2 linked regions of the Saccharomyces cerevisiae S288C genome follow. The gene in region 1 interacts genetically with each later gene. Each region holds a gene or a part of one and is shown in the gene's direction. Other genes may lie near its edges.

What was found.
Region 2: mutations in MPF1 (region 1) and VPS68 together harm fitness more than expected from each alone (negative genetic interaction), as found in Saccharomyces cerevisiae (one large-scale study listed by BioGRID).

Annotation. Positions count from the first base shown.
Region 1 is NC_001146.8:352,311-356,907, reverse strand, and holds MPF1 (Mpf1p), read left to right. Parts: upstream 1-1,865; coding exon 1,866-4,088; downstream 4,089-4,597. Other genes in the region: YNL143C (uncharacterized protein), read left to right, coding at 1-114; MFA2 (mating pheromone a), read right to left, coding at 4,378-4,494.
Region 2 is NC_001147.6:75,761-78,656, forward strand, and holds VPS68 (Vps68p), read left to right. Parts: upstream 1-1,799; coding exon 1,800-2,354; downstream 2,355-2,896. Other genes in the region: Mg(2+) transporter ALR1, read left to right, coding at 1-1,219; serine/threonine protein kinase YGK3, read right to left, coding at 2,592-2,896. UniProt on the Saccharomyces cerevisiae protein: Involved in vacuolar protein sorting.

The DNA of each region.
Region 1 (4,597 bases):
TTGTTCATTATGACTATTACAAAGCCAGGAATGATTTCGATGGCCGACATGAATTACGTCGTTTCCAAGAACAGAAGCTTAAACCGTCCTGCTGAGCGGGGCGGTAATCGGTGACCAGGCAGCCTATAAAATGAAGTTGACAACCGAGTAGGCTATCACGTATGCATGGAACGTATATTTTAGCGTGACCAATGCTGAATGATGATAGTCTATAGCTGAAAATATTATCCAATAATATCAGAAAAAGAAAACTCACCAGCACCAGTGCATCCAATCTGTATTCTGTTAGTATTCCTGATACAGTTATTTCCCTCGTTATGGCTCATTCAGACGCCAAAAAGAGCATAGAGTTAGACAACATTGGAGGGAGTAGCTCAGTTACTGTTGACAGTGGCTTTCACTAATAAAAGCCATTGCAATATGATAATGACTAGCAGAAATTTAAATATTAACAGGATTCTTCTTGGATGAGAAACGTACATAATTTCGCAAAAAAGAAAAAAATATTTACTGCTATAAATCCTGTCATCAACAATAGTTTTCTTCCTTGCCAACGTCCTTTAGCACAAATCTCGTAGGTTCTATGCTTAACAGAGCGTCAACAGAAGCGGGTATCGGCTCGACGTGAATAATGGAGATTGTTACATCCATGTGCCGCTCTACCCATTTCATTTCTACGCCTCAATAAAATGTATGAAAAATGAAAAGATGTAAAACAAAACAACAGTTCCGTAACCGCGGAAAGTTGCGTCTCGTAAAAGGAATGAAAAACTCATATACATTCACCAGATATGTTCTATGAAACTCGAAAGCTTCCATCAATTCACACTAAGCTACACGGCTCCTAATAAGCACTGTAATTCCATCAAATGACAGCGTGACTTCTTGAGTAGTGTAGAACCACTCGTCCCACTAAATCACAGCCCTTAATCCGTGCACAGTGAGTTAAAATATGACTTTATTCATGTAAAACGAAATTTCATCATATACTCGATCTTTGTTCTGCTGTTCTTGAGATGTAAATTACGTGAATTCCTCCGGTTAACACCTTCAGAGTCGCATGGTCAGTCAAAAATTCCACGTCTTATCACCGTGGTCTATTCCAACCTTGTAATATAACCAACACATCGATTTTCGGTACATGGGTGTTTGAGATTTATCCTCATTTGACACATGTACCTGAAACTAATCTTTTCTATCCGGGGCTCCGTGGGAAACGTAACCCGAATTCAAATTCCGCCGAGGCCCCTTTTTTATTTTAGCTCACTCACTGGGTACGGAAGCAGATAGAGCTCTGGATACCCGGAAATCAGCAACACCCAGAGACCTTGGCACGGGAATAAGATGCAGTACCGAATGATCCGGGTCCCACAACTAAGTCAAAAGAAAAAAAGAGAGAATTATTTTGCTGCGGTTTTTCGTTACCTATGCTAACTGTTTCCTCCATACCCCTCCACGCCGTTTTCTCTAATACTGTCCCCATTATCTTTTTGCGAACTTTCTTTCGGCTGCTTCCGGCCAGTTTCTCCCCCATGCAACCCCCTGCGCAAAGGAACAGATCTGCTCTTGATCAAGTAAGAAAATGTGGGGGGCAGGCATCTTGAAAAATTCTCTAAAATTTGCATGTATTCTGTTTTCCGCCAAGGGATAGAGCAAGTGGAAGACGTAGTTGAAGGACTTTTCGTAATATATACAGGCATGCTATTTATTTATTTTGTTGGTGCTTTCTTGGTAAATTGCAAAAACTGTTAGTGAAGTTTCTTTGTAACTTTGGCACTAGTTGTTACACAGGCAGTAACACTAAGCACTATTTTTTTACGTTGTTTTCGCAGACAGCAGAAGAGATAAACGGACCTATTCAGAAAATGTCCTCCAGCATCTTTGAAATGACAATAGACCACGACGGTATGGATAGTACGGGGCTGAAGCTTTCACAGACAGCCTCATCCATATCCATGGGCGACGAGTTTCTTTGTTCCAGTACTACTAGTAATTCTATTCTGGATTCTCCGCTTCCGAAAGTGACTTTTAACCATATCGATAGCATAACAGACATTAACACAAACATCATGAACGAAATAGTGGAGCCACAATCCGGAGTAGATGTTGATGTTGCTGACAAAAACGTGCTTTACTGCATAGATCCGTACCCAGTGGAACCTCCGTGTTATGATTTTGCGAATCCGTCTAAAGTCATTAGGTACCCTATATATGAGCATTGTCGTCCGTGCCTCACTTCTGTGAAACCTCCCAGTTATACACCGTCTGTAGAACACTATACTGTGGTTTCTATGAAGATGGAAAAACTATCGCCCTTTGAAAATGCTTCTTCTCGATTATGGAACAACTTTATTCTTCAAATAAACTCTACGCAGATAAACTTTTATTCTATTGACGATTCATTAACCAGGCATATTAAAAACTATCGTGGTGGTGACATGTTTGACCATTCCCACCATTCCAAAACTGCTAGCGATCGCCATCATTCGGCTCGGTCGTTATTAAATGCGTTCACGACGAAATCCACTTACCAATTCGATAAATATGACAAGGAAAGGATATGCGGGGAAATAGCACGAGACGAGCACAAATTTTTATCAGATGAGCGCCTCTTTAAGAGTTACTCCCTGCAATGTGCCAAAGTTGGTCTGCCTATAGATTATTCCTCTAGAGATTTTGTTTTAAGAATGCGTTGTGAGGGACAACAGTTTCTAGTGCAGTTTTCTCATGTAGACGAATTGATCTATTGGGCTATGTATTTGAACATGGGTATATCCCTGTCCTTGGATCTGGAATTGAGGGAAATGCCCACCTATAGAAGCGTTCCCAGAAGGAGACATCCGAGGGCAAGAAGATTTAAGCAACACAATAAGAACAAAAACAAAAACAAGAGCAGACAAAATAGTGATAGAAATGATTCTCGCTCCCACTCTTTACTTTTAAGAAGATCACACACCTCTTCTGTTGTAACAAAAGTGGCCACCGGCAACGAACGTCCGACAAACAAATCAAGATCAAGAAGTTTAAGCTTGCTACCTCCCTCTGTATCCGATGCGAGTCATGACTCCAATGGGCCCAATGACTCTGGTTCATTGGCAGGGGAGAGTTCTCAAACTGATTTTTGTGGCTTATTTACATCAAAACTAAGAAATTTCTTTAAAACAGATTCCAGTTCGAGAAAAAACTCTAATATGGACATTGGACAAAAAATGAGATCGAAGGAACTGAATAGTGTTCAAGAAGAAATCGATGACAATGGTAGTACTACTAATACCAATACTTCTGTTCTATCTTCCACTTTTTCTCCCACAGCACATTCTGTTTTAACGGCACAAACATCCATCCATGAAAACTTCAGAAGTAGATCGAATTCCAACCCTATAGATCCTTTGCGCTGTGATCGGTCAGTGTTGAAAATTAATAATTTTGAACCGGTATACGAGGGAACAGGAAGGTCAACTATTTCGAATTCTGCTGAGCGTACGAATCGTGAAGAAAAGTTAAACCGTGGCAATGAAGATGTAAATGGAGATGAAGATGATGACGAAGACGAAGACGATGCTAATTACGAAGAGGATGATGAAGATGGATATGTTGAGGATGATGACATCAATAGATTGGTATATTTGGATGAAAGAGAATCTCGCTATGAGAATGCGGACGTTGAGTACGGTACAATATTCAGTACGAAAAGCTTTTCCGTGACTGGTTGTTTAAATCATGATTTTCCAAAGAAATTGTCACTAAAATGTGGAAATAAGAATCAATCCAGTAACGATTCGAAGTGGGCACCGGCGACACAACTAGTTTCAAGGAAAAGATATATCAAAGACTCATTAAGATGCATCAAACCGTTAACGGAAGACCACCCATGGGTAGGTAAGATTATTTTCAAACCGGCACTGCCACCAGCATTCGAAACGAATAATCCACCTATAAGAGTTTATAGTGGTGAAGATAGTACGGACTTGATGCACGTGAAAAACCATTATTTAAAGCCATACATAGTGGGATCCTGCGGGTTTTTGAAAACTGGCTCAAAACTTTTTCACTTTTACGATAGAACTAACGACCTTACGAATTTATGAAATATATGTGTTTTTAATGATTAAATAATAGTCAAAAATATAATTAAAAAAAAAATCGAATGTAATGGGTGGTTCATCTTTCATTTCCTGCGGAGGGAAAGGCGTATCAGAAAAGAAAAACATGAAAAAATCTGTTAAAGTGATAACTACAAATACATATGTATAAAAGTATGAAAAAGTATGGAAAGGGTGAGCTAATGATGAGAGAATTGGAATAAATTAGTTTGCCAGCAACACGTAATAAATGAAAGGGTAGATATTGATTTGACCTCTTGGTTGTCGTCAAAAATTAAGCGATAACACAGGCGGGATCCCAGAAGAGGCCCTTGATTATATAGTTGTCTTTCTTTTCAGAGGATTTATCCTTCTGAGTGGCTTGTGTGGAAGCAGTGGTGATCGGTTGCATTAAGGTTGGTAGTTATTGTTGTATGAAGATGATAGCTCGCTGGTGTCTCTAGTGATGTCAATGAACGGATGAACGACAGAAGAAGTGGATGGAAATAAAATGG
Region 2 (2,896 bases), on another chromosome or scaffold:
ATGGTGGTTAGATTGTAGTTGTCCAACTGATGATGAAATGCGTTGCATAGCAAAGGCGTTTGGTATCCATCCATTGACTGCAGAAGATATCAGAATGCAAGAAACACGTGAAAAGGTGGAACTTTTCAAATCGTATTACTTCGTTTGTTTCCATACCTTTGAAAATGATAAAGAATCAGAGGATTTCCTGGAACCTATTAACGTTTACATTGTTGTCTGTAGGTCAGGTGTTTTAACATTCCATTTTGGCCCAATATCTCATTGTGCTAATGTCAGAAGGCGTGTAAGACAGTTACGTGACTATGTCAATGTCAATTCAGATTGGTTATGTTATGCTTTAATCGATGACATTACTGATAGTTTCGCTCCTGTAATTCAATCTATTGAATATGAAGCAGATGCAATCGAAGATTCTGTGTTCATGGCTCGTGACATGGATTTTGCAGCAATGTTACAAAGAATTGGTGAAAGTAGGCGTAAGACAATGACGTTGATGAGACTTCTTAGTGGTAAGGCTGATGTTATCAAAATGTTTGCCAAAAGATGCCAAGATGAAGCTAATGGTATTGGACCGGCACTAACATCTCAAATAAATATTGCTAACTTACAGGCAAGGCAGGATAACGCCAGTCATATCAAAAATAATAGTTCGACAACTGTACCAAATAATTATGCGCCCACCACATCACAACCGAGGGGGGATATCGCCCTATACTTGGGTGATATTCAAGATCATTTGTTGACAATGTTTCAAAATTTGCTGGCGTACGAAAAAATTTTTTCTAGATCCCATACAAACTACTTAGCTCAACTGCAAGTGGAATCATTTAATTCTAATAATAAAGTGACAGAAATGTTGGGTAAAGTCACCATGATAGGTACAATGCTAGTTCCATTAAATGTTATCACTGGTCTTTTCGGTATGAATGTTAAAGTTCCGGGGGAGAATTCCAGTATCGCGTGGTGGTTTGGGATATTGGGTGTGCTGCTTTTGCTGGCCGTCCTTGGTTGGTTCTTGGCCAGCTATTGGATTAAAAGAATAGACCCTCCTGCAACACTTAACGAGGCCGCTGAAAGTGGAGCCAAATCGGTTATTTCGAGCTTCTTGCCAAAAAGAAACAAGAGATTCAATGATCGTTCCAAAAATATAAATGTAAGAGCCGGTCCTTCAAACAAATCAGTTGCAAGTCTTCCTAGTAGATATAGCCGCTACGACTGATTAGTGATGTGATAAAGATAGAAGATTTAAGTCACAGAGGCGTGCATCTACGATTTTGGCGTTTCACATTTTTTACACTTAAATTTTAGTGATCTAGCCGTGACCTTGGCAGCAGTTTCCAAAATCATTCCATGACCATGTCATGCTTAAGAACGTTAGACCCAGAACAAGTGGACCTGTATTCTAACTCTTCACTCTTGGGCAAAGATAATAGTATTATCTTTTACCCCATTTTTTGTATGTTTTTTCGTTTATTGAGTTTGGCGTTTCCTATTTAGAAATAGTACAATCCGGTCAATCATTCGATAGTGAAATATATATATTTAACTAGGAAAATTAGTAAAACCTCATTTAAAGATCATTCACCTTGATATATACTACTATTGACCTTTTGTTAATGACCATTTTCGTAAAAATGAACTGCGATTCTCTTCTGGAATTTGTTACCCTACCTTATTCACTAAATCAGAAATAATAATGTGCAGCGCCCCTTTCATAAAGAAGGCAAGTATAGGGCATATAGTTAAAGGTCAGAACTCTTTATCCCCAACTACAAGATCAATTAGAAAATCACATCATCATGGAGGCAGATGATCATGTTAGCTTATTTCGCTTCCCCTTCAAGATTCCCACCTTTCGTGGTATAAGAAAAGGTGGGGTCTATCTTTCAGGTGCTCTCTATGCTCTAGGCTTTTGGATATTTCTAGACGCAGTGCTCTATTCTAGATATTCCAATGCATCAGATGTTCATGTTACGTTCATTGACTGGATTCCTTTTCTTTGCAGCACACTGGGAACATTGATTGTGAATTCTATTGAAAAGAATAGATTATTGCAGGGAGCTTTATCGTCAGATGGTGGTGCCTTCGGTAGTGGTGTAGGCGATTTAGATTCAAGCATGGCATGGCAAGCTCGAACCGTTTTATTTTTTGGCTTTGCTTTATTAGCTGGTGGGCTATCAGGCTCCATTGTCGTGTTGATCATCAAATTTTTAGTCAAGGATTACAATACCTATCCAACTTTGGGGATGGGAGTAAACAATGTGTTGGGGAATGTATGCATATTATTGAGTTGCGTTGTTTTATGGATAGCCCAAAATGTTGAAGATGAATATTCATATTCTTTGACGCTCTAAGTTAAGTTGACCAATATTTTCGAGGCCAATTAAGGCGATCTGATTTAGATAAAAAACGTATATATGTATTTATCAACACTTTTTCGAAAACAAAAAGATTTTTAGATAGGAGTATGTACATTCCAATATATTTGTAATGTTTCACATAAAAGGACAGTCTGAGAAAAAATGCAAGTAATGTGGTAAGAAGGAAACATAAGATGACGGCAAATGCAAAAATGAGGTAAGAATCAGCAACTAATCCAGAGATGGCACAATCAAGTTGTAATACTCTCCAAGAGCCCTTTTCTCCGATGCACTAAAATTAAAGAGGTCTGGTAGGTGAACCGGCATACTCGAACCTCTTGGCAAAAAATAGGTTTCATTTCTTAACGCGTCAAAAAATTCGTGAGCCATCAATTGTCTAGCATCGCACCTTTCAGTGGCATCATACGTCAACACCTTTAGCAAGAATTCCACATCAAAAAATTCTATAGAGGGAAACCAATGCATAAACTTCTTGAATTTTTGGTCATTTAAGCTATCCTGTAACTCTTGAGAAT